Nothobranchius furzeri: one gene and its partner. Each later gene encodes a partner of the first gene's protein in a complex. Links are inferred from orthologs where the notes say so. Each region holds a gene or a part of one and is shown in the gene's direction. Other genes may lie near its edges.

Evidence for each region.
Region 2: the proteins of sodium/hydrogen exchanger 3 (region 1) and chp1 are in contact, whole or in part, in a cryo-EM structure (PDB 7X2U), measured with the Homo sapiens proteins. The link is inferred for Nothobranchius furzeri from reciprocal best matches to the Homo sapiens genes SLC9A3 and CHP1. Residues at the interface, in NP_004165.2 of Homo sapiens: Tyr396, Arg397, Met398, Gln400, Glu402, Arg474, Leu475, Asn476, Glu477, Leu479, His480, Gly481, Arg482, Ala483, Phe484, Asp485, His486, Ile487, Leu488, Ser489, Ala490, Ile491, Glu492, Asp493, Ile494, Ser495, Gly496, Gln497, Asn501, Arg504; in NP_009167.1 of Homo sapiens: Arg30, Leu31, Arg34, Leu38, Lys40, Glu49, Phe51, Gln52, Arg53, Ile54, Glu56, Leu57, Ala58, Ile59, Asn60, Pro61, Leu62, Asp64, Ile66, Phe70, Phe83, Leu87, Phe90, Leu115, Phe117, Ala118, Leu121, Tyr122, Leu135, Leu139.

The regions. Positions count from the first base shown.
Region 1 is NC_091759.1:25,545,001-25,548,831, forward strand, and holds part of sodium/hydrogen exchanger 3, read left to right. Parts: intron 1-235; coding exon 236-538; intron 539-2,074; coding exon 2,075-2,235; intron 2,236-2,627; coding exon 2,628-2,959; intron 2,960-3,831. UniProt on the Homo sapiens protein: Plasma membrane Na(+)/H(+) antiporter. Exchanges intracellular H(+) ions for extracellular Na(+) in 1:1 stoichiometry, playing a key role in salt and fluid absorption and pH homeostasis.
Region 2 is NC_091758.1:19,053,993-19,057,923, reverse strand, and holds the start of chp1 (calcineurin B homologous protein 1), read left to right. Parts: upstream 1-1,623; 5' UTR 1,624-1,877; coding exon 1,878-1,944; intron 1,945-2,115; coding exon 2,116-2,188; intron 2,189-3,103; coding exon 3,104-3,184; intron 3,185-3,632; coding exon 3,633-3,760; intron 3,761-3,843; coding exon 3,844-3,905; intron 3,906-3,931. UniProt on the Homo sapiens protein: Calcium-binding protein involved in different processes such as regulation of vesicular trafficking, plasma membrane Na(+)/H(+) exchanger and gene transcription. Involved in the constitutive exocytic membrane traffic.

The DNA.
Region 1 (3,831 bases):
GCTCAGGACAAAGGGACACGAGCTGTTGATTATTTCTACATCTGAAACTTTACAGAAGTCGTTTCTGGTTTAGTTACAGGGCAAACGTCGGGTTGGTCATTAGTTCAGTCATGAATCTGAAATCAGACCCATCAGATGTTACGATGACACTTCAGGTCTGGGACCGGGCCACAGAGCAGCAAGATCAAAAGGTCTCCTTCAAAATAAAAGTGTAACCTTGTGTTTGGTGTTTCAGTCATCGAAGCAAACCACCATGTGACCGAGTTCATCCCCGAGAGCGCTCTGCTCATCTGCTCCGGCTTCATCCTGGGGGGGATGATCTGGGGGGCAGACAAGGTCCAGACCTTCAGGTTGACCCCGTACGACTTCTTCCACTACTTCCTGCCTCCGATCATCTTGGATACGGGATACAGCATGCCAAACAAGCTGTTCTTCACCAACCTGGGAGGCATCCTGATCCACGCCATCATCGGGACCTGCTGGAATGCTGCCAGCCTGGGGCTGTCGCTGTGGGGGTGTCAGATAGGCGGAGCCATGGGTAACAGCAGCGCCTTAACTTCATCTACATATATGTACTTATACACATATGTACATGTATACTCATATATACATGTAGTCATGTATATATGAGTATACATGTGCATATGAGTATACATGTGCATATGTGTATAAGTACATACATGTACATATGTGTATAAGTACATATATGTTCATGTATACTCATATGCACATGTATACATGTATATATATATATATATATATATATATATGAGTATGTATACTCATATTTACATGTATACTCATATATACATGTATACTCATATACATGTATATATGTACTTATACACATATGTACATGTATACTCATATACATGTACATATGTGTATAAGTACATATATGTTCATGTATACTCATATGCACATGTATACATGTGTATATATATATATATATATATATATGAGTATGTATACTCATATTTACATGTATACATGTGCATATGATTATACATGTACATATATGTACTTATACACATATGTACATGTATGTACTTATACTCATATGCACATGTATACTCATATGCACATGTATACTCATATATACATGTAGTCATGTATATATGAGTATGCATGTGCATAAGTGTATAAGTACATATATGTACATATGTGTATAAGTACATATATGTATATGTATACTCATATGCACATGTATACATATATATATATATATACACATGTATATATGTGTATAAGTACATATATGTACATGTATACATATATACACATATATCTACATATGTACTTGTACACATATAGACTTATATACTTACATACTTATATGCATATATACTGATATATATATACGTGTATATATATATTTTTTGATTGATTGATTGATTGATTGATATAAATTTACACAGATGTACTTTTATTTTCATTTATTTAAACAGATGAGTGGATGGAGAACTCATTCTCATTTACAACGGGGATCTGGCCAAGAGGCAGCAGCAACAGTCACACAGTTAGCTTTACACCAGAGAAATATAATATGTATGAGTAATCAGAACTTAGAACACTGATCAGAAACTATTGGTCACCATGAACTATTGAGGGTAGATAAAGGAATGTAGGTCGGGAGCTTCAGTGGTTCTGCAGCTCATTCCAGTCGTTGGAAGCAGCAAACTGGAATGAGGTGCGAGCTTTGGGAATAACCGTAGAGATGAGGTTACTGGAATGTAAACGGTGCTGGTTGCTGGTACTTGTATAACATATATTTATCTACATACGTATTTATATTTATGCACATATATACTCACACAATTATATACTTAAGTACTTACATACTCATGTATATTTTTGATCGATTGATATAAATTTATACAAATACACGTATATAATAAATATTTATCTACCTATGTATTCATAAACATATATACTTATCTAAATATGTACCCATACATACATATATACATAAATACGGTTCTTAGTGACCAGGTAAATGTTGTTTCTGCTGCCTGAACCTCCATCATGGTTCCAGCGACCAGGACCCTCTCAGACTGATCCTGTCCTGCTCCAGGTGACCTGAACGTCGGCCTGCTGCAGTACCTCCTGTTCGGTAGTCTGATCGCTGCTGTCGACCCCGTGGCCGTCCTCGCCGTGTTTGAGCAGGTCCACGTCAACGAGGTCCTCTTCATCATGGTGTTCGGAGAGTCGCTGCTGAACGACGGCGTCACTGTGGTGCGTAAGACCAGCGTCCTGCTCTCTGGGAACCAAACTGATGTCTTTGGTATTTTTAAATATGCAACAACAGAAACGGGAAGAGTTTCTACTGAAGGAGCCAATGACTCAGAGCCTCTGAAACCTTCTGAGCTTCTGGCTGCTCGGAAGGAAAATATTAGAGCTGAACTGGGTCTTTGTTGGGAAACCCAACTCAGGAAAACCTGGTGAAACCCTTCTAAGACCATCATAGACGATGCATCACGTTGAAGGGAAATGAAAGAAGATCAGAATCCTTCTGGAATGATGTCATCTGAGCATCAAAATCTAAGAAACAAGCTGCTGTCTTGGACCAAAGGCTCCTGTGAAGGTGTCCGTCTCCACAACATTCATGGTTCCTTCTGCTTTTTTAGGTGCTCTTCAATGTCTTCAATGCATTTGTGACTCTTGGAGGACCCCGAATCAATGCCGCTGAGATCATTAAAGGAATAAGTGAGACTTTTTTGGGTTCTAACTCTTTCCTGACCAGAAGTGTTTATTTGGGCCTGATCTGTTGTCTTTTTCCAGTTTCCTTCTTCGTGGTGGCGTTTGGCGGTAGCCTGGTGGGGTTTGTGTTTGGCCTGCTGTTCGCCCTTTTGTCCAGATGCACTAAAAACATCCAGATCATCGAGCCCGGCTTCCTCTTCATCCTGGGATACCTGGCCTACCTGACGGCTGAGATGCTCTCCTTGTCCGCCATCCTCTCGTGAGTTCTCCAAAAGTTAACATCAGGGGTCTCATTTATCAAACATGGCGTAGAATCCTTACTAAAACCGTACTTAAGCTCAGCAAACAAAAGTGCTTACACCAAGCAGGTGTGTGATCTATCAAACATGGAGGACGCACAGCTGCACGCAATCTCCGCTTCATAAATCAGAGTCTAACGAGAATGTTTCTCAGCTGCTTTTTAGTCACATCCCACCCTCACCACGCCCACTTACTGCCATAAATGGTCAATGCAAAGTGCCTTGTGGACCTCATGCATACACATAAGCCGGCTGTTGCAGCGCTCCGCCAACGACATGACGACCGTAGATCAAGGCAGATCAAGGAAGCGCTATTTCACACAAGCAGAAGTTGAGGTACCTGTGGGTGAGGTGGAGAAATGAAAGGAAGTTCTTTTGCAAAACAAATAAGAGAAAACCCACGGAGTGGCACAGCGTTGCTGAAGCCGTCAATGCTGACTTCTTCAGAGAGATCTGTGGCGGATATAAAAAATGGTCCAATCAGGATTCAATCCCCAGACTCCCGGGTGAACGTCACGCGCACTAACCAGTCACCCAAACAGAGATCTCCCCTGTACAAGTAGCCAGGTCACATGATCAATCAGGTCACAGTGACAGGACACACACTGTCACACACACATGATGTTCTGTCTCAATCTGTCCCCCTGCTGATATTCTGTACTTCAGGCTGTGTGTGTGTGTGTGTGTTTGTGTGTGTGTGTACAAGTGATAATGCTGCAGGATTTCATTATTGTATCTTCTCAGCAGCAGCGCTGCAGGTGCTCTCCATGTCCAGCATGTGTGTAAGCCAGGTCCTTAGTCAACTTACAGTTGCACACATTTTCCGCTACGT
Region 2 (3,931 bases), on another chromosome or scaffold:
GATGCGGCCGGCAAGCAGCGAGCACTCCGCTGTTTTTGCGGTCGGTAGATCTTTTAGAACTGCAGTTCAAAGGTAACTCATAAGGTAAATATATATGAACCCAGGTAGCAGTTTCTCTTAAGGATTGAGAGGAGATGCAGGAAGATAATAAACAGACAGGACAGAAAAATAGTCAAATAAAAACAAGTTAGTTTTTGTACCTGGTGGTTGCAACAGACACCATTGAAGGTAATCAGAAGTGAGGAACAGAAACTGAAATAATTATTTTAATTTTTAGAGCAGCAGGATCTCTGAGAGGCTGCAGGCGCATCAGTGAGTTTGCGGCCGCTGCACAGGGGGAGGGGGGAGATGGCTGAAGCAGAAACTACCGTTGTTAAAAGAAATGTGTTTAACTTTGAAAATGTGGGCGCAATTTTAATTGTCAAAAACTCCAGCGAACCATTAGTTCATTTTGCTCAAATAGAAATAGAGGCCTGCCTCTAATACTGGCCCTCCTTCCAATAAAGGCCTGGAGCTTGATGAGCTTGAGTCAAATACAGGCCCGGGCCTGTATTAGAGGATTTACTTTATCTTATTACAGCAGAGTACATAGGATAGACGTGTGTGCCTTACCTGGGTAAGAAATATAATAAAACTGCCCTATTTTACCCAGCTGTGTGCAGCAGTTTCTCTTCTAAAATAATGAAAACTGCTGAAAAATAGGTCTAAATCATAATCAGCTTTGAAATAATTTCAGTTAAATATACAGATTTAAACACATGAAAGATGTGTCTTCAGTTCCATCCTGCTTGCCTCAGCCTATGAAAATATTTCCAAATTGTTACCAAAAGGCATGATCATGAAAATACACGACACCGATTACATCAGATTTTATTGAACAAGTACAGAACACCTGTGTGTGTGTGTGTGTGTGTGTGTGTGTGTAGGTATATTGAACTGGCAGCTATGTCATCAGCAAACAACAGATTAGATGAACATTTGAGGGCATGCCTATCATTTTTAACGTGGCTTTTGAAAAGCTAATGTTAGCTTTCTCACAAAGACAAATTATTTACCTCTGCTCAGGTATCCGCATCAGTTCTTCTTCTTAGAGTTTTAATGGCGGGTGGCATCTAACTGCTAGGTGCATTTCCGCCACCTACTGTGCTGGAGTGTGAGTCGGGGTAAGAGCGAGAAAAAAAACTAAATTCTATCCAACAGACCACAGTGCTTTAGATACCCAACAACCAACTTGTAATTCCTTTCTTCACCATTTAACAAATTCCTTACAGTCATCACTCCACCTCCTATGTCTCTTAATTTCTCCCTGAGTTGCCCTCTACTTCCCTCATATTTTATGCAGTCACACAAAACATGTTCCACTGTTCCCCCCCACCCACCCACCCCACATCCACACAAACCAGTGGGATGTTTATCCACATCAGTTGCTTTGCTTGCTTAGCTTTCAATCAAGCGAAGGCTACTGTCTGCCACACCCGCGAATTTTCAGCCAATCGTAGTAGAGCGTATCTAGCCAATCAGATGCGAGAAAGGCGGGACCTTCCTTGGTCACCCTAGAATTCCAAAAGACGCGTGCGGCAACCCTGTTAACCCCGCCCACAGCGCTGTTCAGGAAAAAAGCCTGACCGAAAATCGCTTTGGCAATATGAAGTCAGGACAGACTGGAGGAAATCTTTAACAGAAAACAAACCGCTCGTCACGCTGCATAAACGGGGAGTCTGCTCACAGCTGGTTGATCTGAGCTCACTCAGCTTTTAAAGCCTTGTTTGGAGCAGATATTAGCTCGCGCGGTTAGCTTGTTCGCTAACTTTCAGGGCGCTTCACGGCGAGATTCTCTCAACCGGTTGTGCAAGAAGACGAGCTGATACTACCTCATCATGGGATCAAGAGCTTCCACATTACTGCGAGAAGAAGAAATCGAAGAAATTAAAAAAGAGACCGGCTGTAAGTTGAGCTGACTGATTCATGGAACCAAATTGAAGCTAGCTAACTTACCTGCAGTTGGAAAACAAGTTCACATGTTTTGTCGATCGTTTATAAAGTCGCAGTCTTAATGTGTATTGTGAAAATTAGTTTTTATTTAAACGTAGTAACGTTTTTGTATTTTCGGTGTAGTCTCCCACAGCCAGATCACACGACTGTACAGCCGCTTCACCAGCCTGGATAAAGGAGAGAACGGTACTCTCAGGTAAGACACACACCTGTGTGAAAACTCTCTAGATACAATTTATTGTAATCCTAAAACTTTTTAGAGTTTCTGATGTCAGAAGCTTAGTTCAACAATATCGAGTTTCTCAATCTGCTCTTTAGATTTTAGGGTGTTTTGAGACCAAGTTGAGCAAATGTGGCTGATTCTCAAAAATAGAAACAAAGAGACTAGAGTAAAGCAAAGTTGATCTAGAATTTAAGAGACATTAGTTAAATATTTAGATTCAAACAAGTCATTTGAGAATATTTTTTTACAGGTTTGTATCCAGTTAGTGTTGGTAGGTTTTATCTTAGTGGTAATTTAGCTGAGAGCTCAGTCAGTCATTGGTGTGGTTTGTTTCTGGCTTCACACTAAATGAGAGGTGATGGAATGCTGGGTAATTATTAAGCAAATAAGACTTTAGTCTGAACCTTGGTGTGATGAATCCCTTTGGTTTGGCAGCTGCAACGTCATTTGTGGATCAGTCGTTCAAGGGCAGTCTGATTAATTTTATGGACCTTAGAATCGTCTAAGATGTGTTTACACATAACAAGTTTTTATTCTGTTTGCCCTTGTCTCTGAGCTCTCGTTCCCTTCACAAGTCAGGGGTATTCTCATCTTCTTAGCCTGACATCCTTATCGTGTGTTAGTTTCCACAACAGTGAGATTTTCCACACGTTTCAGGAGGATTGTTTCAAACTCTGGTTACAGGTGATGAAACGGCATCGCCAGGAGAACGGACTCTGAAAACACTTGTTTTCTTTTAAATCAAAGCCGTCTTGTTTTGAGAATTAAAACTACTTTCACATGATGTGTCTCATAAGCTTTACATAAGGTGTGTTATCTTAAACACTATAAAGGGAAATATGTGTTTTCATGGGACTCAATTGTTTTCATATTTCATGATGTCTGCAGCCGAGAAGATTTCCAGAGGATTCCTGAGTTGGCCATCAACCCTCTGGGAGACAGAATCATCAATGCATTCTTCCCTGAGGGGTAGGTTTTCTCTTATTCTACACATTTTCTTGCCTATTTCTGCATATTTCGTAATTGAGAGCTGTAAGCCGGACTGTAACTCGACTCTGCTGAGGCTCGGCGCCGGCAGACACGAGGCTGCCAGATCTGGGTGGACAATTTGTGTGATGCGGTCTACAAACCCCTTCTTTAAGCCATAACATATCAGTTGTGTGGGTGTTTAATGTCGTGACGTGATTTTTAATTGTTTCACGTGGGTTCACCTTTCAGCTGGTTTTGTGTATTTGATTGTGAGCAAATAGAAACTAAAGGGAAGCGTTCAAAATGACATAATGGTACAAGTTCCTGTTTGTTTCCTTGTTTCTCACAATGTCTTTCTCTGAGTAAAAATGTATTCTGACCCAAATAAAACCTTTTTTGTTTTTCGTTCAGATTTTCACTTGAATCTGTTTGGGTTTTTTCCCCCTAGAGAGGACCAGGTGAATTTCAGGGGCTTCATGCGCACCCTGGCTCACTTCAGACCTATTGAGGACAACGAGAAGAACAAGAACCCCACCGCCTCCGAGCCGCTGAACAGCAGATCAAACAAGCTCCTGTGTGAGTGTGGAGCTGCTGAACAGGGTCAGAAACGCTTGGACTCGTCGCTCATGGATCACATAACTTTTATGTTTATTTTTCAGTTGCGTTCCGTCTGTATGACCTGGACAGAGATGACAAAATCTCTCGGGATGAGCTGCTGCAGGTGAGTGCTGCTTTGTCACATGACAG